6 linked regions of the Macaca mulatta genome follow. The protein of the gene in region 4 purifies or fractionates together with the protein of the main gene of each other region. This does not show direct contact. Links are inferred from orthologs where the notes say so. Each region holds a gene or a part of one and is shown on either strand. Other genes may lie near its edges.

Region 1 (5,177 bases), on a different chromosome or scaffold from region 4:
TTTGCTTTCAGTTTGTTCATGCAAGTTCAACGAAAACACCTTAACTTAGATTCTTCCTTATGCATGTTTATAATACCATAATAATTATTTTTAAAAACCCACATTGTCCTGTTTTCTTAGCTCTTCATCTGAAAGACTATGAAGACATCATCCCTCCTGTGGAGATCTACTCTCTGCTAGCACTCTGCGCATGTGCCAGCAGAGCCTTTGGGACTTGTTCAAAAGCTTTCATTAAACTTAAATCTTTAGAGACCCTCAGTTCAGAACAGAAACAGCAGTATGAAGACCTCGCTTTAGAAATATTCACCAAACATACTTCAAAAGATAACAGAAAACCTGAATTGGACAGCCTTATGGAAGGGTAGGCTAATTTTAATTAGTGGATGTCATTCTACCTTATTAGAAGCTTGGATTTCTAGATGTGCAATGTTTAATGTAGGAAGTAAAGCACTAAATTTTGAAGCAATTCACATTAACATTATACCCTATTTTATTTATTCTTACAAGTGTATTCATGCTTTTATTTTTTCATTGTAAGAAAGGTTTTTTCTTGAAAAAACTTTTTTAAATGAAAGTATTTGACATTAATCTTGGAATTTTTATTCTTTAGGTTTTTTTAAGTGTATTAAATAAATTAAGTTAGACTAATGAGAAGTTTTAAAGTATAATGAATTGTTTCTCCCCTTGTTTTACAGTGGAGAAGGGAAACTGCCAACATGCGTTGCCACAGGAAGCCCGATCACTGAGTATCAATTCTGGATGTGCAGTGTATGCAAGCATGGTGTCCTTGCCCAGGAAATAAGCCACTACAGCTTCTGCCCCTTATGCCATAGTCCAGTGGCTTAAAGGAATGATAAACTGTATGTAACTGTAAAATATAGGTAACATATATACATGGCTATATGCTGTATGTGTAATAAGGTTTATTTCTATGAGTTTTGTATGAAAATAAGCCTCATTATTTATAGTTGAATTTTTGCACAAAATACATGTTAATAAAATAATTTTTTAAAGCAATACAACTGTGAAATAATAAGGCTGATTTTCATATAAATGTATGAAAATCAACCATATTTTCTGTCTGCCTCTCTCTTTTGTCTATCTTGTATTTGGTTACATGATACCATGGGAATATTCCAAATAAATATTTTTCTCACAATGTCAAGGTAACTGAATTCATTAAAAAATCTTGAAGGGAGTGGGGAGCAGGGGAGGCATGGGAGTGGGGCAAAGTTGAATTTAGAGAATTTTTATAACCCATGTTACAAGGAAGTTAAACAATTGTAATAGCGAAATGAGCTTTCTCTGTAGCCATAGTTAATTAAATAAGCGTTGAATGTCTTCTTTATTATATATTCAGAAGTGAGGCGATGGCATTTTAAGACATTTTTTACAATGTCTTAAATAAGACATTAGAAACAATAAATTGTTTCTAATAGCCCTATTCCTCTATTTTAAAACCTGTCCTTTTAGTTTCATTCAAGAGATGGCATTTGGAATTTACACTTTCATATGATTGTGCAGAAAACTTGGCTCTATTTATAATGAAAATAACAAACAAAAATATCCATTTTGTAGTTATAGCTTCTATTGAAACATTGTCACTAAGCTGGACCCTTTATTTACACAAGTATTGTTGAGGGAGTGATTCTTTCTTGATATGCATCTGTTTTCATGGATTATTAATTTAGAAGATAAACAGTTGTGATCTGTAATGGACCATTTCTTATGTCTTTTATATAGCAAATAATGTTCTCTGTTTATTTCTCATGAATTCCCATTTTGTGGCTAAAGACAGAACTTTGCACTATTTCATCAAGATTATTTTATTGAGGTTTGGCTTACCTTTAGTAGAGGCAATACATAGAGATACGCAACTTTGTTATTGCAGCTACAATACACTTTCTCAATCTGATGTTTTTGTCTTGTAGAGACCAAGGCAAGTTCAGCATGTTGCAGATTGGGAATAGTGAGCTATGAGAAGAGATTTAGAGCCTAGATGAGCTTAGGATAGATAGTGGGCTCATAGGCCTACATAAAAAGAGGAGACCAGAAGTCTTTGAGGTCTCTGTCTCTCTTCATGTACCTTGTGGAAAATTACCTTTGTACAATGGTAGCCTCTAAATACATTACCTAGCAAGCTATCCCAGAGGTCAAGGAACAGAAAGCCTTACAAACCAAATAAAAATTCTCAAAATACATTGGTTTATTAAACCAATTTGCAATACACAGTGAGGAACAAGGAGAAAGCAATGATAGATTAACACTGTTAGTGTAGCGTGCCAGTGAGGTGGAAAGACCACAACACCTGAATCATAGGTTATGTAATGTTTTTATGTCCTGACTCACACTCTGTCACATAAGCTTTCCCCTAATAGTGGGGTTACAAGGAGGACCAGAGTGGCCGTTTGAGCCAGACAACTCAATCAGATGAAATGTGCCTGAGGCCAACGACGTACACTTGTTCTCTAGAAGGGTCTCAGGGGCCAGTACACTTTTACCACAGTAATAGCTTGCCTATTAGTCTGCTGAGCAGCCATGAATTTTATTGTATTTCTTGGGTAAGGACAGGCCAGAATGAGTGTCACCAGTGGGTAACTGAATCAACTTCTCACACATATTGAGGGCTTTATATGTCTCATGCATACTTAGTGTGTCATGAATATTTGATATCTTTGTGGCTTTTCATATTTTGAATGCTTCATGAATATTTGATATCTCTTTCTCCTTTCTATCTGTGGTCACACATACATGCTCTATTAACTTTTGTCTAATATGTCTCCTAAGTTACTAACTTACTTATCTAAATTTAACACAATGAATTTCAGCTTTCTCATTTGTTTTCTTCTATACCAGAATGGAAAATTTCCCCAAATCAGAAAATCACATTCTAACAAAGAAGTCTAAGACAATACATCTCCTGTTGAACTTACATCTTTCCACAGGACTTCTATTTTTAGGGATGAGACTGTTCTCTGCTTCATCAAGGAAAGAGAAATGTTCAGGGTTGTAGGGATGGCACACTTACTAGCTTTGCCTGTCTGAAAGGTTCCTGCAGGACAGTTTGGTCAGAGCTGCAATTCTTGGTCCATGGTTGAATGCTTGAGTATTTCTTCCTTCCCTTTCCTATCTCAGGAATCAGCTGAGAATTCATTTGATTGTCATGCCTCTGGCCCCTTACTGTGATTTGTTGGTTACACTTTCATTTGCTTTAATTCTAGGATCACCTGTTGACTCCTCAGACTTCACCTAACTTTGGAAACTCTCTTTTGGAGCCTTCTCATTTCCCCCTAATTCTGTGCTGCCTGAGCTCTAGAATTTTCCCACCAATGAATTACTCCAGGTAGATTCTGAGTTGCTGGATCTAGTTGATATTTAAACAATATGTAGTTGATATTTCTAATTCAGTTGGATCCAGAAACCAGTATCTTTTAAAACAACCTCTCATACCTTGTGGACCTAATTATCATATATGTATATGTGTGTGTGTGTGTGCGTATGTATATGGACAGACACATCTTTTTTACTTTTGTAAAAGCTTATGCCTCTTTGGTATCTATATCTGTTAAAGTTTTAATGATCTGCCATAATGTCTTGGGGACCTTTGTCTTGTATGTAAATAGTACTAGAGAAAAAACCTGTATTATGAATTGATCTAGTTGGTTTTATTCGACATGAAGGCAATTTCAAGATAACAACACTAACAAACTCTCCCTTGACTAGGGGGACAAAGAAAAGCAAAATTGACCATAAAAAACAATTACCCGGTGAGAAGTTGCATAAACAGAATTAGGTAGTATACTGAAGACAGCATCATTAAACAGTTATGTTGTTCTCCTTGCAAAAAACATGTACTGACTCCCTTTGAGTAATGCCAAGTTGTTTTTTTATTATAAAACTTGCCCTTAATTACATGTTTCAAAGTGGTGTGGTGGGCCAAAGTATTGAAATGATGGAACTGACTGATGAAGCTGTACAAATAAGCAGTGTGCCTAACAAGCAACACAGTAATGTTGACATGCTTAATTCACAAATGCTAATTTCATTATAAATTATTTTGCTAAAGTACACTTTGAAATTATTTTTCTGTATTCCAAGAGCTGAGATCTTAGATTTTATGTAGTATTAAGTGAAAAAATGCGAAAATAATAAACATTGAAGAAAAAATAACTTGTGTTTATTCCACGTTTTCTTTATAACTTATGGAGAACATGGTGTTTGCTTTGTCTTGATTTAAGTATGCTGATGGGGGTTGGTTAGGAGGGTATTGGGCTCCAGAGTGGAGAAGGGGAAGAGGGAGCAGGAGGTACAATAGATATACAGTACCACTTTTGCTACCAAACAAGGGGGAAAAAACCCCAAGAGACTGAATAAATTGCTGTATTATGTCTTTATAATGAGAGCTACCAGCTCCTAAGATATTTCTCTAAAGTTAAAAAAAATTAAATTATACCTCCAGCTGATTGAAGTCCACCCTTTCCACACTGATGTGCAATTATATGAAAAAAAAAAAAAAAACCCAAAAACAAAACAAAACAAAAAAACAAGTCCATATATGCAGGTACCAATTTCTGGTTTCTTTTTCTGTTCCATTGATCTGTTTGTCTTTCTTTGGCCCAAAGCAGAATGTCTCAGTTATTATAGTTTTTAAAATAGGTCCTGCTATCTGGTACAAGTCCTACTTTGTTTTTCTTCTTCAAAAATGTTTTGTCACTCTCAGTCCTTTGCACTTCTTTTTTACATATACAACCATATAACCGTGCTTAATGACTGCTTTTTTTTAAAAAAATACTTCTCAATTGTCATATCTGTTATTTCTTTTTATCATCTTATTGCATTGGCTAGGATACCCAAAACAATGCTGAATAATTAAAGTGATGATACTGGGCATCCTTGTCTTATTCTTAATCTCAAAGGAAATTTTTCAATATTTTAAGAAATCATTGCTTATTATATTTTCTGTAGACATTTTGTCGGTAGGTTTTAACAAGTATGTCTTCTTGTCCTAGTTTGCTAGGGAGTTGAATTTTATTAACTGAATTTTCTACATCTGTTGAGATTTTTCTTCAATTTGTTGATGTGGTGAGTTAAGTACTACAAGCAAGAATACTTGATAATGCTAAAAACTGCTATTCACAATAACAATGTAACATCTAAGAGTATCTGTAGACATAACA
Region 2 (4,522 bases), on a different chromosome or scaffold from region 4:
ATGGACGTACCATATTTATACAACCGGTTCCCTACTGATGGGCATACGGTTGTGTCTAGTTTTTTGCTAGCATTATGATAGATTAGAGCCTGTAATGAATGGTAAGGAAGTAAGTAGATGATAGCACTACTACTTTAAAGGAAAAAGTAGAGAAGAAACTTCCTTTGCCATAGTCACTTACTAAATGAAATTTAATAAAAACACTGTCAAAAGTTGGGAGGACCAAAATTGATACTTTTTCTCTGATCTTTTTGCCATGTGTATATCTGAATTCTTTGTTTTTAAAGAAGAAACAGCATTGAAGCATTATTTGGGGGGAAAAACACACACACAAAATCCAGCAACTCAGCATTCATGAGCAACTCTATACTATACCAGTATGTGCCTGTGCAGTGGAAGGAAAACAATTTTGGTAAGGATTAAAACTTTAGCTTTAAACTTCCAACAGGTTGATATTCTAATGAATGATAAATCAAAAAAATTTTAAAATATTCTTGTATTGACAGTGCTTTTTTAAAAATCACCCTACCTTGATACCTGTAATTTTAAAGTTTCCCATTTTTCTTTAAAGAAAAAAATCTGAATTTGCAGCCAACAAAAATTAGATATCCTAAGGTTGTGTTACTTCTGACTTTTATTAAAATATCAACATTTATTAGAGATGTTTATGGGCTGACTTTGTCTTTTTCTTCAAGGGGCCAAGTTCACTAATTGCTGAGTTTTATACATGACAGCAACAGTCCTTTTGTAGGTGTGTGTTGCATCCATCTAGATACTTTAAAATGCTCATCTATTTCATTTTTAAAATTATATGTGGGGGATTATCGGTAGTTTTTTGTTAAACATATGACATCTGTAGTTTATTTCACTAATGTAAATTTTTTCTACCTTTTACTTGATATAGGAAATATATCCTGGACAATTCCAACCATCTCTCTGTCACAAATTCATAGCCTTGTCAGATAAGGAAGGAAAACTACTTCGCAACTATACCCAGAACATAGACACGCTGGAACAGGTTGCGGGAATCCAGAGGATAATTCAGTGTCATGGTTAGTAAACTTCAGAATGGTTTTCTGTAATTTATTTTAGTTTTATAGGAGGATTTTTCCTCTAAAGCAGACTGCCATTGAGAAGTGGAGATAAAGCATTATTTAATCATGTTATCTCGTTAATTATAGATAACCTCCGAAAAGTAGAAAAGTAGAAAACAAAAATAATAAAAACAGTTAATTACATAAAACCTCAAATATTAATTTGCTTTTGATTTCAAAAGATGCTGCAGTTGCATGCATTCAGTTATTTTAAATAATCTTTTCTGGCTGGGTGTGGTGACTCACGCCTGTAATCCTAGCACTTTGGGAAGCTGAAGCGGGCGGATCACATGAGGCCAGGAGTTCGAAGAACAGCCTGGCCAACATGGTGAAACCCTGGCTCTACTAAAAATACAAAAATTAGCCGGGCATGGTGGCGTACCTGTTATCCCAGCCACTTAGGAGGCTGAGGCATGAGAATCACTTGAACTTGGGAGTTGGAGGTTGCAGTGAGCCAAGATTGCACCATTGCGCTCCAGCCTGGGAGACAGAGAGTGAGACTCTGTCCAAAAAAAAAAAAAAAAACTGATTACAAGAGTAATGTTAGCTATTAATGAAGAAATGTGACATCTTTAGTTTATGAAACTAAAAGAACTGGATAGTTGAGATGTACAGAATTCAGAGATTCAGAAATGTTTAATGTAAAACAAGTATGAACACGCCATTAGGTATCTAAAGTGTTTCTAAGAACTGCTGAACTAAGGTAATAGAATTGGAACTGTTCAACTCTGCAGGATTTTAGCTCTGCAGGAGCGAGTTATTACAGTTTTGTTCAAAAGAGTAGCTTTAGAAGGCATCATTATTGTCTCAGCGATTGAGAATTGTGTTCATTCTATGTATAAATAAATATATAAATTATTCATCCCCTAGATTCTCCTGTAGTGTATCACAAAATCTGCAGTGTGTTCTGAGGTTTAAAATCAAAGTTAAAAATCTTTAAACCCTGTTAACATTTCTGATGTCAAACTTTATAACATTCGTGGTGTGTTCAAGAAACAGAAATACTTCATTAATAAAGCACATATATGTTGGTTGTTTTTAGGTTCCTTTGCAACAGCATCTTGCCTGATTTGTAAATACAAAGTTGACTGTGAAGCTGTACGAGGAGATATTTTTAATCAGGTAATTTGTTTCCCGTATTTTAGGAATTGTGCATGTCTCTGAAGTATTTCTTCTTTTGCCTCAAAATCCTTTTTTTACCCTTAAAGGTATACGTGATACAGAAATATTCAGGAAGAAAATAGTAATTGGGAATTTTGGTAAAATATACAAGAACCTTTCAATACCTTATATAGAAAACAGCCCTATAAAGTCTGTTAAAATTATGAAATTGGCTTCTTAGTATCTAAGCCGAACCTAAAACATCAGATCATAAGCAAGTTGTTGTTGTTGTAGTTTTTCTCCTTCCTCTTTTTGTGCCTGTCAGATTTGAACCTTAAATTAGTTGTGGTAATCTTTTAAAATTATTTCATACATGTTCATTGCCAAAAAATATAGGAAAATGTAGCAGAAAATAAAAATTATCCAGAAATATGTCCTGTGTGCTTAGCAATATATAGAGTTAATTATATTATTATGAAAGAGGAAGAATAGTATATTAAAATGGAATCATTGTTCGGGTGCAGTGGCTCATGCTTGTAATCCCAGCACTTTGGGAGGCTGAGGTGGGTGGATCATTTGAGGTCAGAAGTTCAAGACCAGCCTGGCCAACATGGCAAAACCCCGTCTCTCCTAAAAATACGAAAATTAGCCTGGCATGGTGGCATATGCCTTTAATCTCAGCTACTTGGGAGGCTGAGGCAGGAGAATCATTTGAACTCAGGAGGTGGAGGTTGTAGTGAGTTGAGATCATGCCACTGCACTCCAGCCTGGGCAACAGAATGAGACTCCATCTCAAATAAATACAATGGAGTCATTTTGTTTTACAAATGTGTATTTTTCTTTTAAAGGATCAATTCCCATTTTGTGTATATACACACATTGTGTTTTTCCTCTTATATGATGGACTCTTCAATGTCAAGTGTTTTTCTATATAGATATTATAACAAGAGCATAGTATTTCACTGTTTCATAGTATGTTAATAAACTACCCATCATTGACGTTTAGATTGTTACCCAGTTGCTGTTTATCTATAGCTTTTCTGTTTTTTTTTTTTTTTTTTTTTTTTTAAATAATTCTGAAATGTATTCTTAGAGGTATGGAAATGTTGACTATTTCTAACTTGAGCTTACTGTTTGCTTCTCTGTCTCAACCAAAATCTGAAAATTCGTAGGTAGTTCCTCGATGTCCTAGGTGCCCAGCTGATGAACCGCTTGCTATCATGAAACCAGAGATTGTGTTTTTTGGTGAAAATTTACCAGAACAGTTTCATAGAGCCATGAAGTATGACAAAGATGAAGTTGACCTCCTCATTGTTATTGGGTCTTCCCTCAAAGTAAGACCGGTAGCACTAATTCCAAGTAAGTTGGTGATGGCTTTTGGAGATCATTTCTATATATAATGTCATGGGTTGTGGATCTGTATAATAGACCCTAACTCTAGTAATCTTACTCTGCTTCTGTTTGAAAGAGTGGTGAAGAGCTAATTTTCGAAATTGTTTGTTTATTTATTGAGATGGAGTTTCCCTCTTATTGCCCAGGCTGGCGTGCGGTGGCGTGATCTCAGCTCACTGCAACCTCCGCCTCCTGGGTTCAAGCGATCCTCCTGCCTCAGCCTCCTGAGTAGCTGGGATTACAGTTGTCCACCAACATGCCTGGCTAACTTTTTATATTTTTAGTAGAGACCGGGTTTCGCCATGTTGGCCAGGCTGGTCTCGAACTCCTGAGCTCAGGTGATCCACCCGTCTTGGCGTCCCAAAGTGCTGGGATTACAGGCATGAGCCACCATGCCCGGCCAGAAATTGTTTATTTATAGTAGAGATGAGGTCCTGTTGTGTTGCCCAGGCTGGATTTGAACTCCTGGGCTCAAGGATCCTCCTGCCTCAGCCCCTTGAGTAGCTAGGATTACAGGCACAAGCCTCCACATCTGGCTCAACTATTTTTTATGTGGCATTGTTGTTCATTGAGACTGGTGAATCTGACATTTTGATGGGGTGTGGAGGGTTGTCAAAACACAAGTAACGTTAGTGACTCATGCCTGTAATCTCAGCACTTTGGGAGGCCGAGGTGTGTGGATCCCTTGAGGGCAGCAGTTTGAGACCAGCCTGGCCAACATGGTGAAACCCTGTCTCTGCTAAAAATACAAAAATCAGTTGGGCGTGGTGGTGTGCGCATGTAGTTCCAGCTACGTGGGAGGCTGAGGTGTGAGAACCGCTTGAACCCAGGAGGCAGAGGTTGCAATGAGCCGAGATTGTGCCACTGCACTCCAGCCAGGGCGACAGAGTGGGACTCTGTCTCAAAAAATCAAAAACAAAAAAACCCACAAGTAA
Region 3 (5,035 bases), on a different chromosome or scaffold from region 4:
GCTGCAGTGAGCTATTATGGTGCCACTGCACTCCAACCTGGGTGACAGGGTGAGACCCCATCTCAAAAAAAAAAAAAAAAGAAAAGAAAAGAAAAGAAAAAAGGCTTTTTTCCCTAGCTGGTTGTTCACTGCAAGTGAGAAAACAATCATTGTTACTAATAATGACTGACTTAATTCCCTCTGGTGTATCTGAGGGATGTCTAACATCTCTTTTTATTTACAGAGGAGATATTGGAGCCCAGAGGCTGACTTAATTTAATGTGTCTACCCTAGAGGATTTCCAGTGGACTTCAGCTGATAACAGAAAAACAATTTGAAAGTTTTTCTCTTGTAATGTGTTATCCATACATGCATATAATACTGATGATTTTCTTTATTGGGTTATGGTAATATAAACTAGCAGCAGGAGCAGTCACTGGTTTTGTAATAAAAGTTATCTGAAAAAGTCAATCTGTTACCAGTGGAGGGTGTCCAGGTTCTTGGCGTTTTGGACAAAGAATTGGAAGAAACACATAAACAAAGCAAGGAAAGAATGAAACAACAAAATCAGAGATGTACTGAAAATGAAAGTACACTCCAGTGTGGGCGCAGGCCCAGCACAGGGCTCAAGGGCCCTGTTACAGAATTCCTGGAGGTTTAAATACCCTCTAGAGGATTCACTGGTTACTTGGTGTATACCCTATGTAAACGAAGAGAATGAATTAAAGTTACAAACTCATTTACTCGGCATACACCCTATGGAGAGGATATTTCTTGTTATAGCTAAAGTGTGAATCGGCCTTATGTTCCCTGCCTCCAGACCCTATTTTCCTGCCTCAAATCTCTAATACTTGATTTTGATGATTTAACTGTTGATCAATGCAAATATAAAAGACTTTTGTAAAGCATAGGCTATACTGTATGTTAATTCAAGGAATGTCAGGGCATGTACTAATGCTGAATTCTGAGAATCACGTGCTTTTGTACAGAACAAAGTCTGTTTCTTGAAATATTTTGAGTTAAATACTCCCTAAAACTCCTTAATAAAGGCAATTACAGAATCTGTTAATTGATATGTGGAATGGCAGTGAAAGAGGCTGTATTAGACGACTTGAAAACACTCATATTTGGAGCTTAATGAAAATATTCCTGCTCCCCAGAGATGAAATGTTAGTGAGAGTAGCAAATAATCTATTTTTATATGCCCGATTTGCATATTTGAGGCCATCTATTAACACCGTTCTTTAGGACCTCAACCTAGTCGTCTAAGACATCCTTATTAAACAAGGCCAATACGTACCATTTAACATTGAAAATAGTTAATGCCCTTCAAAATCTTTCAAAAGAATAAAAATTAAAAACTAAGTTCTTTGTAAAATTTTGCGGTTTAAAATAATTTTTAAAATTTTAAAAATTTTTTGGTTTCAAATTAGTGGGTGCCTCATTTATCATAAATTATAAAAGAGAATCTAACAATTATTGGCTACATTCTAGGCACGGGGTAACGCTTTATTGTTCTTCTAACCAAAAAAATATATGTATCTAAGTATCCTATGTAACGTATCATTCAATCACACAAAACCCTATGAAATACTGGCAGGGCCCGGTGGCTCACGCCTGTAATCCCAGCACTTTGAGAGGCAGAGGCAGGAGGATAATTTGAGCCCTCAGGAGTTCAAGACCAGCCTGGACAACAATAGTGAGACATCGTCACTTCACCATCATATCCAGAATTAATTTCTACTGTTAGGGCAGTCAGCGAAAGGAAAGCTCGCGATATTACACAAACTACTACTCCCAACATGCAAAGCGGTTTCTTTCCCTCTGTCCCCGCCCGGCCGTCCGAGAGCCCCAGCAGGCCTCGGGGCGCGAAAGGCAACCTGGAAGCGGTAGTTCTCCTGGGCGCCTAGCGGGATCGCCAGCGCGGCAGTGGGGCCTTCCGCGGCTCCAAGCCAGCGGGTCCTGTGAGGGCGAGCGGAGGCGGAGAAAGGGCGCGGGAGTGAGAGAGGGTGAGTCAGCCACTGTCTACGCAATAAAGGGAGGCCTCACCGCGGGCTAGGGCTGAATTCAGAAGTGCGGCCCGTGCCGCAGTCTGTTCCAGGACGCGGCTTGTCTTAGCGTCTGCGAGGGAAGGTTGAGGAGGAGCCAGAGCCGGGTCCGGCAGCCTTTCTCGCTATCAGCGCCCGTCGCCATCTCCACCATGCAGTCCCGGGAAGACGCCCCGCGCTCTCGCCGCCTCGCCAGCCCCCGCGGTGGGAGGCGGCCCAAGAGGATTTCCAAGCCCTCGGTTTCGGCCTTTTTCACGGGTCCAGAGGAATTAAAGGACACGGCCCATTCTGCAGCCCTGCTGGCACAGCTCAAGTCTTTCTACGACGCGCGGCTGCTGTGTGATGTGACCATCGAGGTGGTGACGCCTGGCAGCGGGCCTGGCACGGGTCGCCTCTTTTCCTGCAATCGCAACGTGCTAGCAGCTGCGTGTCCCTACTTCAAGAGCATGTTCACAGGTGGCATGTACGAGAGCCAGCAGGCCAGCGTGACCATGCACGATGTGGACGCCGAGTCCTTCGAGGTGTTGGTCGACTACTGCTACACGGGTCGTGTGTCTCTCAGCGAGGCCAATGTGCAGCGCCTGTACGCAGCCTCCGACATGCTGCAACTGGAGTATGTGCGGGAAGCCTGTGCCTCCTTCTTAGCCCGACGTCTTGACCTGACCAACTGCACCGCCATCCTCAAGTTTGCAGACGCCTTCGACCATCACAAGCTTCGATCTCAGGCCCAGTCCTATATAGCTCAGAACTTCAAGCAGCTCAGCCGAATGGGTTCAATTCGGGAAGAGACTCTAGCAGATCTGACCCTGGCCCAGCTGCTGGCTGTCCTGCGCTTGGATAGTCTGGACATAGAGAGTGAGCGGACTGTATGCCATGTAGCTGTGCAGTGGCTGGAGGCTGCTCCCAAGGAGCGGGGTCCCAGTGCTGCGGAAGTCTTCAAGTGCGTGCGCTGGATGCACTTCACTGAAGAAGATCAGGACTACTTAGAAGGGCTGCTGACCAAGCCCATTGTGAAGAAGTACTGCCTGGACGTTATTGAAGGGGCCCTGCAGATGCGCTATGGTGACCTGTTGTACAAGTCTCTGGTGCCAGTGCCAAACAGCAGCAGCAGCAGCAGTAGCAGCAGCAACTCTCTTGTATCTGCAGCAGAAAATCCACCCCAGAGACTGGGTATGTGTGCCAAGGAGATGGTGATCTTCTTTGGACACCCCAGAGATCCCTTTCTCTGCTATGACCCTTACTCAGGGGACATTTACACAATGCCATCACCTTTGACCAGCTTTGCTCACACTAAGACTGTTACCTCCTCAGCTGTCTGTGTCTCCCCAGACCATGACATCTATCTAGCTGCCCAGCCAAGGAAAGACCTCTGGGTGTATAAACCAGCTCAGAATAGTTGGCAGCAACTTGCAGATCGCTTGCTGTGTCGTGAGGGCATGGATGTGGCATATCTCAATGGCTACATCTACATTTTGGGGGGGCGAGACCCTATTACTGGAGTTAAGTTGAAGGAAGTGGAATGCTACAGTGTTCAGAGAAACCAGTGGGCATTGGTGGCTCCTGTCCCTCATTCCTTCTATTCCTTTGAACTCATAGTGGTTCAGAACTATCTTTATGCTGTCAACAGTAAGCGCATGCTCTGCTATGATCCTAGCCACAATATGTGGCTGAACTGTGCTTCTCTTAAACGCAGTGACTTTCAGGAAGCATGTGTTTTCAATGATGAAATCTATTGTATCTGTGACATCCCAGTCATGAAGGTCTACAACCCAGCTAGGGGAGAATGGAGGCGGATTAGTAATATTCCTTTGGATTCAGAGACCCACAACTACCAGATTGTCAATCATGACCGAAAGTTGCTTCTCATCACTTCTACAACCCCACAATGGAAAAAGAACCGAGTAACAGTGTATGAGTATGATACTAGGGAAGATCAGTGGATTAATATAGGTACTATGTTAGGCCTTTTGCAGTTTGACTCTGGCTTTATTTGCCTTTGTGCCCGTGTTTATCCTTCCTGCCTTGAACCTGGTCAGAGTTTTATTACTGAGGAAGATGATGCACGGAGTGAGTCTAGTACTGAATGGGACTTAGATGGATTCAGTGAGCTGGACTCTGAGTCAGGAAGTTCAAGTTCTTTTTCAGATGATGAAGTCTGGGTGCAAGTAGCACCTCAGCGAAATGCACAGGATCAGCAGGGTTCTTTGTAAATAGATTTTGAGACACTAAGATGTTTCTACTGCTACGGAATGTATTTTAAACACATATCCTTTCTTTTTCTTGAAAAAAAAAAAGTTGACCAGGACCACAGATTTGGTTTAGAAAGGGTAATATTTTGAAATACTACAAGGTTTAAACAGTCCACAAAATCGACCTGTTTAATAATATACCTTCCTGAAAGTCCAAAATTAAAATATGGAAGCAAGAACTATGTAATTGACTGGGATGCTTGGTAGGTTTTTTTCATTGTTCAAATATTCATTGCACAGTGGATTGTTTTGATTAGTTAGTATGCTTTTTTTTTTTTAATTAATTCAGTCTTCTGTTAATTTTTAAGTTTTGGTTAGTGCCACAAGGAATTTAACTTTTTAATCTGTACAATAGAAAACTGGACTAGGAATTGTTGGTGGAGTTTTGAAGGATGTATACTTTCCTTCAAAATAAAGTGGTAGATTTTCAAAATTTTACACTAGTCAGTTCTTTATATTCTAAGTTAAATATAGTTTGTAAAATTATTTTGGTTTTCTACAAAGGAAAAAAAATTGCATATATATATATATATATATATATAAAAAGGTTACTGAATAATGATTTCATTTTGATAAATGTGCAGAATGGCCTCACAAGCTCACAGAAAGTAAAAAATAAGTAAATAAAAATAAGGATTCCACTGTTTTAAAATAAATCTGTTTTTATTTTGGAATATAAAATGTGTATTTGGTATATGTGACCAATTTTCTTTCCCAAAAAACACCCATTCTAGTAATGTCATGAATTAAACACCCTTC
Region 4 (4,522 bases):
CGGCTAATTTTTTGTATTTTTAGTAGAGACGGGGTTTCACCGTGGTCTCGATCTTCTGACCTTGTGATCCGCCCGCCTCGGCCTCCCAAAGTGCTGGGATTACAGGCGTGAGCCACCGCGCCCGGCCCGCAAAAATGATTTTCTATTTAACCAAAGCTAAATTACTTACCTTGAGTCAACTAGCTGAAAAGTGGCAGATTTAGATTTTCTGATTCTTAGTCTAGTTCTTTATCCCTGACTGTAAATACCACATTGTCTGCTTTTGCACTGCTCTGTGAAGTGGCTGTGTTCTTTCTCAGAACTGGCCTTTCAGTGCCAGATGAATTAATGCCTTTTCATGTCTCAACAGGTTGCATCTTGACTATAAAACCCATTAAGTGCTGTTTTGATTGAATTCTAAGAAGTGTCAGTTTGGCAGATTGTGTCCGTATAAGTGGCTCCAATTTGCTTGTCTTGAAAGTTTCAGAGAGATCTTTGATCTCTCAAGACAGATTCATGTGAACTGAGTTCTTGGTATAAAAATGGCATTTGAAAACATAGTAATAGGTGAAGATATCCATACGATAGTGGTATCTCAGGAGTTTTCTGCCTTTTTGCTACCAATAAAAAGGGGGGGTACCAGGTGTCGTGGCTCATGCCTGTAATCTCAGCACTTTGGGAAGCTGAGGTGGGCGGATTGCTTGAGCCCAAGAGTTTGAGATCAGTCTGGGCAACTTGGTGAAACCCCATCTCTACAGAAAATTACCTGGATATGGTGTAGTCCCAGGTACTCAGGAGGCTGAGGTGGGAGGATCACGTGAGCCCAGGAAGTTGAGGCTGCAGTGAGTGGCTGTGATTTGGCCACTGCACTCCCACCTGGGCAGCAGAGTGAAACCCTGTCTCGAAAAATAATAATAATAAGTTAATATTTTAGAGAGAAGAAGGAAAAAATGTCCTTTGCAAAGCAAATAATTTTTTAAGTAACAGCTCTTTTGAGATATAAATTACAGACCATACACCTCTTCCATTTCAAGTACACAATAGGCCAGGCACGGTGGCTCACGCCTGTAATCCCAGCACTTTGGGAGGCAGAGGCAGGCAGATCACCTGACGTCAGGAGTTCGAGACCAGCCTGGCCAACATGGTGAAACCCCGTCTCCACTAAAAATACAAAAAAAATTAGCCGGGTGTGGTGGTGGGCACCTGTAATTCCAGCTACTTGGGAGGCTGAGGCTGAGGTTGGGAGTTCAAGGCCAGCCTGACCAACATGGAGAAACCCCGTCTCTACTAAAAATACAAAATTAGCCAGATGTGGTGGTGGGCGCCTGTAGTCCCAGCTACTCAAGAGGCTGAGGCAGGAAAATCGCTTGAACCCGGGAGGCCGAGGTTGCGGTGAGCCGAGATTGCGCCCAGCCTGGGCAACGAGAGCAAAACTCCATCTCAGAAAAAAATATAAAAGAAAATGCTGGGGGGAATAAAACTGCTGTAGAGAACAATGCATCATTGGATTTTTTTTTAATTGTGGTAAAACATGCATTGTAACATAAAAGTTACCAGTGTTAGCCTGGCATGGTGGCTTGCACCTATTATCCCAACACTTTGGGAGGCCGAGGCGGGCAGATCACCTGAGGTCAGTTTGACCAGTCTGGCCAACATGGTGAAACCCCGTCTCTACTAAAAATACAAAAAAATTAGCTGGGCTTGGTGGCGCACACCTGTAATCCCAGCTACCGGGGAGGCTGAGACAAGAGAATCGCTTGAACCCGAGGGATGGAGGTTGCAGTGAGCCGAGATCGTGCCACTGCACTCCAGCCTGAGCGACAGAGCGAGACTCCATCTTAATAATAATAATAATAATTTATTAGTGCTACAGCTCTTTTTAGAATGTCTAGCAAGTTTTCCTGTTTTTACTGAAGCCTTCCCTTCCCTTCCAAATAACAAAAAGTACACTTTTTTTTTTAAAAGAGTTCAGGTGTCATTCTGTTGCCTAGGCGGGGGTGCATAGCTCACTTTAGCCTCAAAATCCTGGGCTTAAGTGATCCACCCACCTCAGCTAGCTAGGATTACAGACACACAGGTACCATCATGCCTGGCTAATTTTTTTAAAAAAAACTTTTTATAGAGACAGATCTCAAACTCGTGGCCTCAAGCAATCCTTCTGCCTCAGCCTCCCAAAGTGCTAGGAGTACAGCCATGAGCCACTGTGCCCTGCCTAAATTTTCTTTTTTTTTTTTTTTTTTTTGAGACAGTCTCACTCTGTTGCCCAGGCTGGAGTGCAGTGGCGCAATCTCGCCCCCTGCAAGCTCTGCCTCCCAGTTTCAAGCGATTCTCCTGCCTCAGCCTCCCGAGTAGCTGGGACTACAGGTGCCCACCACCATGCCCGGCTAATTTTTTGTATTTTTAGTAGAGACGGAGCTTCACCATGTTAGCTGGATGGTCTCAATCTCCTGACCTCGTCATCTGCCCGCCTCGGCCTCCCAAAGTGCTGGGATTACAGGTGTGAGCCACCGTACCCAGCCTGCCCTGACTAAAATTTATAAGTTTAATCATTTTAAAGTGTGAGATTCAGTGACATTAAGTACATTAGCAATGTTATGCAACCACTACTACCATCTTCAGAACTTTTTCATCTTCCCAGAGACTTCACACCCATTCAAGATAATTCCTCATTCTCCCCTGCCCCCAGCCCCTAGTAACCTCTATTCTACTTTCTGTCTCTATGAATTTGCCTGTTTTATGTATTTGGACAAAATAGTTGTGTTTAGGGTCACAATAGTTAGGAAGGTTTTAAGAAAAAAAAATTAAAACTATCTTTGTTTCAAAGACCTTTTTTAAACCAGTGTTGGCAGTGCTAACAGTTCTTCCTTTTCTGCTAGATATCTCTGAAAGTGTGAACTTCGATGAGGAGACTGATGGAAGATCCCAGTCAGCATGTTTAGAAAGCCCAAATTCTGCATCCAGCCAGAATTCAACTGTATGTAGTTCTGAAACTTCTTCCGTTAGAGCTAACTTGACTCTTTCTCAAACATATCTTCAGTATGTGTGTGTGTGTATGTATGTATGTATTTATTTATTTATTTATTTATTTTTGAGACAGAGTCTTACTCTGTCACCCAGGCTGGAAGTGCTGTGGCATGATCTCGGCTCACTGCAAGCTCTGCCTCCCGGGTTCACGCCATTCTCCTGCCTCAGCCTCCTGAGTAGCTGGGACTACAGGCGCCGCCACCACGCCCGGCTAATTTTTTGTATTTTTAGTAGAGACAGGTTTCACCGTGTTAGCCAGGATGGTCTCAATCTCCTGAGCTTGTGATCCACCCGCCTCGGCCTCCCAAAGTGCTGGGATTACAGGTGTGAGCCACTGTCCCAGCCCTCAAACATATCTTCAGTATTTAAATACCATTAGTGAATGAGGGTTCCTTCAGAAGTTTAAGCTCAAATTTAGCTTATGATCTAATTTTTTCTATCTCAGGTCAGCTATTGTGAGGCTTTGTCCCATTTGCATACTTAGCTCTTCATTACTCTTAATATTCATATCCTTATTTAACTTTTCAGTTTTCCTTATTCTGTCAGAAGACTGAAGACACAGGGGTAAATTACTAAGTTGCTTTGTCCACTAAGTGCTTCTCAAAGAGAATCAGATTTTGAGTCCTGGCCTCTTGTTGCTCATGTATGGCTGTCCTTTCAGGATACAGGCACTTCCTGTTCTGCTACTGCAGCCCAACCAGCTGATAACCTCCTGGGAGACATAGACGACCTGGAGGACTTTGTGTATAGTCCTGCCCCTCAAGGTGTCACAGTAAGATGTCGGATAATCCGGGATAAAAAGGGAATGGATCGGGGCCTCTTCCCCACCTACTATATGTACTTGGAGAAAGAAGAAAATCAGAAGGTATGAGAATTGATTTCTAAGAAAACTCTTGAGAGAGAGAAGAATGTTGTGGGAATAGATTGTTGATGGGCCTTAGGGAACTAACTCTGGTATTAGACCAAGCCAGCTAGAAGTAGATTGTATCTTTCAGTCCCCAGATGCTGTGTTCTCATTTTCTGCAAAGAGCTCATGGTCTAATAGGCAGCAAGCTCTACCCTCCCACAAATAAGAGCTTGATCCACAATGTGGGAAAATGGGCAGGTATTTCTTAATGTAATTTTACAGGTATTTTGTAATGTAAGTTTTCACCTGTCTCCCATGATTTAGTTTTTAGATGCTACTGTTCTTTTTTTTTTTTTTTTTTTAATGATAAAACATGACATTGTGGAAGGAGAGCGAGTTTTGGGGAATAGGATGAATTAGAAATACGAAGGACATACAAGTTAAATGTCTTGTTTCTCACCCTAGAAATTCTAATTTATTTTATAAGTTTGAGCCAATTTAATATGTGCCGATGAACCTTATTAATTTTGTATTAATACCAGGTCTTAACAGATGCTTTTAAGAGCCTAGAAATGAGATAATGATAGTAGGTATTAATTGTTCTAACCACCATTTATTGAGTGTTTACAACAGACCAACCATGTGCATATATGTTTATATGTATTATCACCT
Region 5 (5,188 bases), on a different chromosome or scaffold from region 4:
CCCAAGACGCCGACCGAGCACGGGCACGCGCTCTTCGCCGCCGAAAGGACCGACGCCGTCCCGATTTTACCCTAAGGGCCAACGAGCACGGGGATGGCCTCCTTTTCGCGAGAACCTCCAACCAGACTGGACCGTTCTCGGAGGCGCAGTCTCCTCGAGCCCCGTCCCGCTCCGCACCGGCGCGCGTCTCGCGATGGGGACGCAGAAGCCTCCTCGCCCCGAGGCCGGTTCTGGCTGTACCGCGCGCTGTGGGAGCGACGCCTCCCCCGCGCTCTCCCGCGCCGCCCCACAGGACCCCCTGGCCCGGCCTCGCCATGACAGCCCCAGCGCCCAGCTTTGGTCACCTTTTTCATCAACGCCGGGCGGCAGCCTGGCTTCCCGGGGCCTCCCCGGGTGCCCGCAGAACCAGCCGGGCCGGGCAGCCGCGGCCCCCGAGCACCGGCTGCAGTGAGGCGGCGACGCCTGGCTGGTCGTCCGCCTTGGGAGCGACTGGCCGAGCGGCGCTAGCCCCGGCACGTCCCTTCCGCGGGCCGGCGCGCAGTTGAGGGGGCTGCGGGCGCCGATACTGCCGCAGCTCAGCCTAGTAAAGCCGGCCCGCCGCGCTCAGCAGCAGTTCCGGCTACGGCGGCCGGTGGGGGCCGCACGGACGGCGCGCGGGGGCGGGGCCGGGGCGCGCGGGCGCGCGGGGCGAGGCGACGAGCGCGGGGGCGAGCACGCCCAAGGTTTCTTAGGGCGCGTCTCCGCAAAACGGCGCCCCCATTGGCTAGGTCTGGGCGGGCGCGCTCGCCCGGTGGGCGTAGGGGGCGAGCCCACGGCGCGAGTACTGTTGTGACGCCAGTCTCGCGACCTTGCGGACTGTGCGTCTCTTCGGATTGGTGGACAAGCAGCCAATAGGCCAGGGCCCGTGCCGTGATTGGCCGCAGCCGTGTTGACGGATACATGAGAAGAAAACGCCGTGGTAACTCGGAGTGTGGAATCGGGCGCGAACCTGAGTTCTGAGGAGAAGTGTGGAAGCGCGTCCGAGGCAGTTTCGCGCACCCTTTCCTGAGTGGGGTGTGTGCTTCTGCGCTACGTTAGCGTGGCCGAGCGGTGCTGGGCACTTGGTCATTTTCTTCATAGCAACAAAGCAGAGGGGTGTTTTTCAAATTCTAGTGTTTTTTTTTCTTTTTCTTTTTTTGAGACGGAGTCTCGCTCTGTCGCCCAGGCTGGAGTGCAGTGGCGCGATCTCGGCTCACTGCAAGCTCCGCCTCCCGGGGCTCAGGCGATCCTTCTCCCTCAGCCTCCTGTAGCTGAGACTACAGGCGCCACCGCACCAGGCTAATTTTTGTAGTTTTTTAGAGACGGAATCTCGCCATGTTGCCCAGGCTGGTCTCGAACTCCTGGGCTCCAACGATCCGCCCGCCCCGGCCTCCCAAGCGCTGGAAGCCCAGGCGCGAGCCCCGCGCCCGGCCGCCAGCTGCTTTCTGGGGGGCGCTCCCTGCCTTGCTCCGTTCTGTGGAGTCCGGGGCCCGGCAATGGACACAGGCCCTCAGTCACCCAACAGCTCAGGACACTGCCGAGCGCATCGACTTTCCCAGAAACGCCTGACCCACGCCCTCCACTCCCAGACTAGAAAAGCGGAGCCCAGCGAAGGCCTGGGCTGAGACCGCCCGGCGCTGGAAAGGCCCCGCCTCGGGATGCACGGGAGGGGAACACGCCCAGGAGGGGAGGATGCCGCGGTCGATTGGGGCTGTGACAGCGCGCCCTCAATACGAAGGGGACCCGGACGCCGGCCCTGCGCCGCCGTCTCTCCTAAAAAAAGCTCGTCCGGCTTCTCTCTTGCAGAACGGAATAACCCGGCCCCCGGCGCTCAGACCTCGGAGCCGCACGTGCGTGCCCGATCGCCTTCGGCTCTTTCCGGCCGCTCGGGGCGCTTCGGGCGTCCTCGGGGCCGCCTCGCTCACCTTCGGCTATTTCCGCGTTCCTGGCGCGCCGTTGTCCCGGCAACGCGCGGCGGCTCAGCGGCCTGGCGGAGGTGAGTGGCCTTAAGGGCTAGGGCGGCCGACCCAGGTCCTTAGGAGCCAGGCAGGGGTTTGGGGCCGAGGATCTGACCGGTGGCGGGCGTCGGGACCCTCCTGTCTCCTCCCACGATCCCGTCGCCGCCGAGTCCCCGCGGCCCCTCGCGAGTCCCTTCGAGGGTCCCATCGAGGCTGGGGCGGGCTTGGCGCGGGGTCCAGGTCGCCCGTAGGATGATGGCTGTCGCCCCCGCACGGCCTCGAATCGCGGCTGATTCCGGTCGCTGGGAGAGTCCCTTTGGAATGGGCGGGGTGGGGAGGTGGGCGGCGCCATCACACACCCCAGATGAAGCGGGACTAACGAGAGGAGCAAAAAAAAAAACATTCTATGCTTGGTCACACGCCGGGTCGGCTCTGAGGGTCGCGTTGCATCAAACCGCCAGCGCATGGCTTCTCGATACCGTCCGCTGGTATGCAACGAGGACCCTGCGCAGACCGGAGGCTCTGCATTGTGGCCTGGAGAGCGAGGCTTTGTAGGGTGGTCCCGGGTGCCTGCCCCTGAGAGTCCACCGTGGAGCCCCGTCCAGGGGTTCCCTATTCGGCGTCACAGAGGAGGAAGGCTACTCAAAGCCCTGTGACCCCGTGCCGCTTAGCTGAATGGGCTTAACAGATTCTTTCCAAAAGCTAGTTTAATGGAGGCACTTGTAGAGGCTCTGGAGACGCTGGACGCCTAAAAGTGAGAGGAGTACATCAGTTAGAATAAATACAGTTTTTCTCTGGTTCCCCAAAGTTGATACATCTCCCAGTTGTATGTTCCGGAGACTGGGACTTTGTTTCAAGGAAAGGAAGGGTACTCGTTTCCGAGCTAACGCTATTGCAGATTGTCATCAAGTACGTAACTATTTTATTGGTAGCCATCTCTCCTCCTTGTGTCAACTTTTATAAATTATACTGATAATACTCATTTTGGGAACTTGTTAAAATGCAGGTGAAAGGAACTATGAAGAATTATATTAATGCATTGTGTAAAAATGGAACTCATTCAGTCAGGCCTGCAACCCGTTTGTTATATTAATAACACAACAGGAAGAATCTCTCTCCTTGCTAATACGCAGCTTCATCCGCGCAGGGCCTGTTCTGTGCAAGGCACTGTTCTAAGAAGCTGGGAATACTGGGTGCCTCCGGCTCTCTGGGAAAGATAATATGGGGGGCAGTGTGTGAGCAACGAAACTCACATTTACAGTAAAGTCTAAGTGCAGCCACGGAGAAGCCCAGCGTTGTGTGGGGACACTGGGCAAGAAGCACAGGACAAAGGCAAAGCCATCAAGCCCTGAGAACTCCCTTACCCAAAGCCGGGCGGGAACCTTGAAAAACCCCAGGCAGGAAAGAAAGTAATTAGGACCATTTGCCTTCATAGTTAGTACAAAGTGTTGTACTAACGTATCACTCATTTTTCAGAGAAATATTTTCACAGAGTAAACTTGTTAGATACTAATTTCCCATACCCCAGGATTTGTAACCTTGGCTGGCTGCAACATGTTAAAACTCTTTTTTTTTTTTTTCCAAAACAGAGTTTCGCTCTGTTGCCCAGGCTGGAGTGCAGTGGTGAGATCTTGGCTCACTGCAACCTCTGCCTCCTGGATTCAAGCGATTCTTGTGCCTCAGCCTCCTGAGTAGGTGGGATTATAGGCAGGCACCACCACACCCAGCTAATTTTTGTATTTTTTAGTAGAGACGAGGTTTCACCATGTTGTCCAGGATGGTCTCGATCTTCTGACCTCGTGATCCACCCACCTCAGCCTCCCAAAGTGCTGGCATTACAGGTGTGAGTCACCGCGCCCGGCCAAAACTCATTTTAAGAGGCAGTTCCAGCTACTTGGGAGACTGAGGCAGGAGGATCACTTGAGCCCAGGAGTTCAAGGCTACAGTGAGCCATGATCACACCACTGCTCTCCAGCCTGGGAGCCCTGTCTCTAAACAAAATACATATTTTTTAATTTAAAGGTTTCTTTCGCTGTTTTAAATTGCCCAGGTTTTGATCTGTATGTGTGTTTGTTTGTTGTTTGGGTTTCTTTTTTTTTTTTTTAATTTATTTTTTGAGACAGAGTCTTGTTCTGTTGCCAGGCTGGAGTGCAGTGGGGTGATCTCAGCTCACTGCAATCTCTGCCTCCCAGGTTCTAGCGATTCTTCTGTCTCAGACTCCAGAGTAGCTGGGATTACAGGCGTGCACCACCACAACTGGCTAATTTTTTGTATTTTTAGTAGACGGCGGCGGGGGCGGTGGTGCACGTTCTCCATTTTGCTCAGGCTGGTCTTGAACTCCTGAGCTCACACAATCTGCCTGCCTCGGCCTCCCAAATTGCTAGGATTACAGGCATGAGCCACCGCACCCATCCTGAATAATTTTAAATGGTGGCAAACATGTCTACAAATATGCTCTTCTCTGCCAGTTAACTTCTCCAAATTGACTGAGGTGTAAAAAAGTGAGAGTAACCAGACTGTCACTTCATGTATCACCCTAACCTTCCTGAAAAGGGACAATATGTATATCTTTTCCAGATCTGAGAGGAAGAATGAGAGCGATTAGTTCACTAAGTTCACGTAACTGATCAAGCTCAACTTCTCACAGCTGCTGCAGCTGTGCGTTCTTGACTCTCTAATGGAGGAAGCCTTCTGTCTTCTACCACCTGTGAGTCAGAGGTAGCGGACAGTCTGATTTTATGCTTTACTGGAAATTAAGTACTGGTTTTTTTCTGTACCAGTACTCTCTTCTGGAGCAGTTTGCTTTTATTTTGTTTGAAAATGTTGTTTAAAAGGCAGCGGTGACTCACAGCTATAATCCCAGCACTTTAAGAGGCCAAGGCAGGAGGATTACCTGAGCTCAGGAGTTCAAGACCAACCTGGGCAACATAGTAAAACTCTGTGTCTACACAAATTATTTAAAAACTAGCTGGCCATGGTAGTGCATGTCTGTAGTCCCAGCTACTTGAGAGACTGAGGTGGGAGGATCACTTGAGCCCAGGAGTTTGAGGCTGCAGTGAGCCGTGATCTCACCACTGCACTCCAGCCTGGGTAACAGAGCGAGACTTGGTCTAAAAGGAAAAAAGAGGCAACTACAGAAATAGAACTTGTCCTTATTGTGACTGGAATGAAAGTTACTGAGGATTGCATGTGTAGTCTAGGCTGCAGGGCTT
Region 6 (4,522 bases), on a different chromosome or scaffold from region 4:
CTTTTTTTGAAACAGGGTCTCACTGTATCTCCCAAGCTGGAGTGCAGTGGCACAAACATGGCTCACTGCAGCCTTGACCTCCCGGGCCCAAGTAATCCTCCCACTTCAGCCTCCTGAGTAGCTGAGTAGCATGTGCATGCCACCATGCCCAGCCCCCCTTTTTTTTTCTTTTTTTTGGTAGAGATGGGATCTTGCCATGGTACTCAGGCTGCAGTTCAGTGGCACGATCTTGGTCCACTGCAACCTCTGCCTCCTGGGTTCAAGTGATTCTCCTGCCTCAGCCTCCCAAGTAGCTGGGATTACAGGCATGCACCACCATGCCCAGCTAATTTTTGTATTTTTTAATAGAGATGGGGTTTCTCCATGTTGGTCAGGCTGGTCTCGAACTCCTGACCTCAGATGATCCGCCTGCCTCAGCCTCCCAAAGTGCTGGGATTACAAGCATGAGCCACTGTGCCCAGCCACTTTGTTTCTTATGAATACCTTCTTTTCCTCTCTGTCAATCTAAAATGATCTTTTAAAAGTTGATCATACAAATTATGTCTCGATTCCAGATGTGATTCATTTGTAAAAGTGCTTGATGAGTTTGTTTTATCAAAAGGCAGGGTTCTTTATAGGATTTAAGAAAATCTGCTAACTTAAGTATGATTATATTTAATGTAGTATATGAAAATGCTATTAAAAGTAAAATTTTTAATTTTACCATCCCCTCAACCACAGCAAAAAATTGAAGTTAATATCACCCATGCAGTGAATAGTGAGTTGTATTTCTCACTTTAGAGAGTTTATTATCTGTTCAAAATAGATTGAATAATCTTGTTATAGACAAAAATCACAGTGATTTTACTTTTAAAAAATGTATAGTGATATTTTGCTCTCTTTTTAAAAAGTAACTGTGTTGCCATGGATTGGGATAAAGATGGAGATGTCCTAGCAGTGATTGCTGAGAAATCTAGCTGCATTTATCTTTGGGATGCCAACACAAATAAGACTAGCCAGTTAGATAATGGCATGAGGTAAGATAACTTTTTTATTTTTTAAAGCTTCACTTAGAAACATGAATATTTGTAGGTTTGGTGCTAACAATTCTTTTCTACTTTCATTTTAAGATTCCTCAATGAGTTATTTTCTTAGAAAATGATTATTTTATTATTGTTACCCAATTAGAATGAAATTGTTATAACTGTGAAATATAAAGAGCTTCTTAAAAAGTTGCTTTCAGTGGAACAGACTAAGAAGTGCAGAGATGAGACAAAATATATATGGGAAAATCCAGAGATGGGCTTGACCATAGGCATGGCTGGATCTAGGAGTTATAATGGTGCAATCAAGACTTTTTCTCCACCTCTCAGCTCCTCTTTTCTCTATATTGACTTCATTCTAAATCAGATTCTCATCCACGACTACTGGTAGCTACCAGTGTGTATCATTCTTCACAGCAAGCCATGCCAGAGAAAAGAGCATGTGCCTTGACATCACCAGAGCCCATTCAGTTCCTCAAAAGGTCTCTGAATGGAGTAGGCAGGGCCATGGATTGGTACTCCCACCAAGTGAAAGGAAGGGTGAAGGGCAGGGCAGTTCCCAAATGGAAAAACACCTTGGGCAGACAGAATAAATGACAGATATCTGCTAAAATAGAAACCAGTTTCCGATATGGACAAGAAAAACTTGTCAGCATTTCCAGCTAAAACTTTGCCATTTTGACCTTGGACAAGTTGCTTAACCCCTCTCCAAGCCTCAGTTTCTTCATCTCTATGACATGGGTATAGCATGTTTCATGGCTTCATGTACCCCTCAGGTGGGGAGGAAGAGATCATATACATGCTATTAGACCAGACTATAAGTTTTCAAGTTATTTACTAAGGAATAACTGAACCCAGAGGAAGCAAGGCAGTCATGTAGAGCAGCATCAGCTATAACCTAGGGAGTGCAGTGCCATTGACCCTCCAGAGTGACTGTTGAGGCAAGTAGCTGCAGAAGATACTGTCTACCAATGTAAAGTCTTTCTGAGTCTAAGAACCTTCAGTTCTTGCTCTGTCCTCTTACACTCTGGGTTTACATCACTTTTCAGAAAGATTTTATATACAGTCTCTGTGCTTCCATTCAAGGGAGTGTTTAATAAACTTCAAGTACTGGTTCTTGAGCCAAATTCAGCAACAGTAAGGCCATGTTCTCACTCAGAGAAAAGTGCATAATTAATCCCCTGGTGTTTCTAACTGGTCTATCTCTGCCTTCAGCTCTCTATCTTCCCAGAGTGTCTGTTTCTCCACTTCATCTTAGGATTGTTGTGATGTTTAAATGTATGTCATGGCAAGGCATAAAATTAAGACCCAAGTAAATGGTAGATGTTATCGTAATTGTCATTAAAATAAAATTAAGGTTGCTTTACTGTTGATGTTTATAATTAAAGTCTAAAGAACTTTTGTATATACAAAAGCATACCCACTATTGTTTGTTCTCTATTCAAAGGCCAATCTGTTATACTAGCTAGTTATTAAACAAAACTTTGAATATCAATTTTTCTTAAGTATTTTTATTTAAGAAGGTCCTGTTGTACATGGCCACCTTGCATCCTCTAGGTTCAGTTATTCCTTAGTAGATAAAAGCTTTTAATCAATTTAGGTTCCGTTTATAAAATTTATCTGAAGTGAATCTTTTGAGCACTTCAGACACCTTAAATAGTACCCAAAACCTATCCAAATGTAATTATCACAAAACTTACTGTGGTGCCACTTAACTAAAAATATTACATTAATTCAATGAGCTGAATTCATTTATTTTTGCTATATAGGCTTTTATACTCTTTTAGGATTATAGCAGTATTTACTCTGCTCCTGCCTAGACCTAACAGAAGTAGTCATTTAATTATGTGACTGGGATATAGCCATTTCTTTCCACAGAAAACCCTATATGTAACATCTGCTTCATCAACCAATTCATTCTTAGATGGATCACAGAACATGGTTGCTTCTCCCAAGGCAATTTGGACCTGAGTACTAGGTATCCTACTCAGTGTCTTTTTAAATTGACCTTCAGTTGTCATGTTAGTAAAATTCTTTTAAGCCCATGCCTTATACATAGGTTGCAATTTTTTGTAACCTGTACATTTCCCTAGGATGATATATTCTTTAAATTTTGCTTGGCCAGAGATACATGTGATTGTTATATGTTGTCCTGATCCAATGGCATTATTGGAAATTTACATATGCTTTAGTATCATATTGTAATTTGCAAGACTTTCTACAGACCTTATCTCCTAAGAGGGATGGAGTCTGTTCAGTTAGCTCTTCTTTTGAGGACATTTGATTACTTGATCTTCTTAGAACACATTATTTAACACTTTCTTTCTAGTTGGTTGTTGTGTAACTGTCAGTGCTGATAAACTATTGAATAGACTAATGTTATATTTATCTTATTATATATGATCACTTTTGCTGATCAGATCTTGTTCTTGTTATACAGTTCTTTTCTCTGATACTGTTTTTAGCTCATGCAGAATTATTTTTATTCATATTTTCTTTGAAGGAGTCTCTCTAAGACAGGATTAAATGTGTAAGAGATTTCTTACAGGAAATGCCTGTGAGGGAACTTAGAGAGGTTAGGAGAAGAGATTGGAAGAACTGTCAGACCTCAGTGCGTGTCTGACCCTTATAAATGAGAGAGGGAAAGAAGTAAGGTTGGGAAGAAGCATCTTAAATTGTAGCACAGTTTTGGTTTTTTGGGTTTTTTTTTGTTTTGGATCGGAGTCTCCCTCTGTCACCCAGGCTGGAGTACAGTGGCACGATCTCGGCTCACTGCAACCTCCACCTCCTGGGTCAAAGCAATTCTCCTGCCTCAGCCTCCCAAGTAGCTGGGACTATAGGTGCCCATGACCATGCCCAGCTAATTTTTGTATTTTTAGTAGAGATGGGGTTTCACCATGTTGGCCAGGCTGGTCTCAAACTCCTGACCTCGGATGATCTGCCCACCTCAGCCTCCCAAAGTGCTGGGATTACATGCGTGAGCCGCCGTGCCCAGCCCATTAAATTGTAGTAGAGTTCTAATTAAGAAAGTTCAGCTAGGTCTGTGGGGAGTCTTTGGGCAAAAGTTACCTGTCAAAGGAGTTCTGCCCGGGAATGGGCCCAGCAGTTATCCCTCCCTCACTCAGTCATTGTCTGGGAGCAGCCCATGAGAAAGCACAGCCCAGTTCATTGAGGTGATGGATTCCAAAGCCTAGCAGTTGGGGCTTGTGGCCAGTTACACTTTCTGCAGACAAAGGGAAATCTGAGAGGCACATTATTGTAGCTATGGCACCTACTTAAAACGAGGAAAGAAAGATTAAAATGCATATTTATCTTTTGTAAAATAGCTACTTAATAGAAGAACCTAGCAGCCTGGTATGTTACTACTCCCTTACTTGCTAAAATTAATTTGTTTTTCTTTTTTTTTGAGACAGAGTCTCGCTCTGTTGCCCAGGCTAGAGTGCAGTGGCACAATCTCGGCTCACTGCAGCCTCTGCCTCCCGGGTTCAAGCGATTCTTCT

What was found.
Region 1: the proteins of TULP3 (region 4) and WDR35 purify together in Homo sapiens (affinity purification with mass spectrometry; 5 studies listed by BioGRID and IntAct, counting the BioPlex papers as one, with this or other methods). This does not show direct contact. The link is inferred for Macaca mulatta from reciprocal best matches to the Homo sapiens genes TULP3 and WDR35.
Region 2: the proteins of TULP3 (region 4) and SIRT1 purify together in Homo sapiens (affinity purification with mass spectrometry; 5 studies listed by BioGRID and IntAct, counting the BioPlex papers as one, with this or other methods). This does not show direct contact. The link is inferred for Macaca mulatta from reciprocal best matches to the Homo sapiens genes TULP3 and SIRT1.
Region 3: the proteins of TULP3 (region 4) and KBTBD7 purify together in Homo sapiens (affinity purification with mass spectrometry; 3 studies listed by BioGRID and IntAct, counting the BioPlex papers as one, with this or other methods). This does not show direct contact. The link is inferred for Macaca mulatta from reciprocal best matches to the Homo sapiens genes TULP3 and KBTBD7.
Region 5: the proteins of TULP3 (region 4) and IFT140 purify together in Homo sapiens (affinity purification with mass spectrometry; 5 studies listed by BioGRID and IntAct, counting the BioPlex papers as one, with this or other methods). This does not show direct contact. The link is inferred for Macaca mulatta from reciprocal best matches to the Homo sapiens genes TULP3 and IFT140.
Region 6: the proteins of TULP3 (region 4) and WDR19 purify together in Homo sapiens (affinity purification with mass spectrometry; 5 studies listed by BioGRID and IntAct, counting the BioPlex papers as one, with this or other methods). This does not show direct contact. The link is inferred for Macaca mulatta from reciprocal best matches to the Homo sapiens genes TULP3 and WDR19.

The regions. Positions count from the first base shown.
Region 1 is NC_133418.1:105,122,550-105,127,726, forward strand, and holds the end of WDR35 (WD repeat-containing protein 35), read left to right. Parts: intron 1-120; coding exon 121-361; intron 362-695; coding exon 696-846; 3' UTR 847-860; exon of another isoform or gene 861-1,159; intron 1,160-3,221; 3' UTR 3,222-4,173; downstream 4,174-5,177. UniProt on the Homo sapiens protein: As a component of the IFT complex A (IFT-A), a complex required for retrograde ciliary transport and entry into cilia of G protein-coupled receptors (GPCRs), it is involved in ciliogenesis and ciliary protein trafficking.
Region 2 is NC_133414.1:81,856,229-81,860,750, reverse strand, and holds part of SIRT1 (NAD-dependent protein deacetylase sirtuin-1), read left to right. Parts: intron 1-287; exon of another isoform or gene 288-379; coding exon of another isoform or gene 380-412; intron 413-904; coding exon 905-1,052; intron 1,053-2,136; coding exon 2,137-2,216; intron 2,217-3,367; coding exon 3,368-3,554; intron 3,555-4,522. UniProt on the Homo sapiens protein: NAD-dependent protein deacetylase that links transcriptional regulation directly to intracellular energetics and participates in the coordination of several separated cellular functions such as cell cycle, response to DNA damage, metabolism, apoptosis and autophagy.
Region 3 is NC_133422.1:20,613,785-20,618,819, reverse strand, and holds the start of KBTBD7 (kelch repeat and BTB domain-containing protein 7), read left to right. Parts: upstream 1-1,870; 5' UTR 1,871-2,179; coding exon 2,180-4,237; 3' UTR 4,238-5,035. UniProt on the Homo sapiens protein: As part of the CUL3(KBTBD6/7) E3 ubiquitin ligase complex functions as a substrate adapter for the RAC1 guanine exchange factor (GEF) TIAM1, mediating its 'Lys-48' ubiquitination and proteasomal degradation.
Region 4 is NC_133416.1:3,832,213-3,836,734, forward strand, and holds part of TULP3 (tubby-related protein 3), read left to right. Parts: intron 1-2,855; coding exon 2,856-2,953; intron 2,954-3,664; coding exon 3,665-3,868; intron 3,869-4,522. UniProt on the Homo sapiens protein: Negative regulator of the Shh signaling transduction pathway: recruited to primary cilia via association with the IFT complex A (IFT-A) and is required for recruitment of G protein-coupled receptor GPR161 to cilia, a promoter of PKA-dependent basal repression machinery in Shh signaling.
Region 5 is NC_133425.1:2,832,726-2,837,913, reverse strand, and holds the start of IFT140 (intraflagellar transport protein 140 homolog), read left to right. Parts: upstream 1-1,959; 5' UTR 1,960-2,014; intron 2,015-5,188. UniProt on the Homo sapiens protein: Component of the IFT complex A (IFT-A), a complex required for retrograde ciliary transport and entry into cilia of G protein-coupled receptors (GPCRs).
Region 6 is NC_133410.1:38,399,338-38,403,859, forward strand, and holds part of WDR19 (WD repeat-containing protein 19), read left to right. Parts: intron 1-890; coding exon 891-1,016; intron 1,017-4,522. UniProt on the Homo sapiens protein: As component of the IFT complex A (IFT-A), a complex required for retrograde ciliary transport and entry into cilia of G protein-coupled receptors (GPCRs), it is involved in cilia function and/or assembly.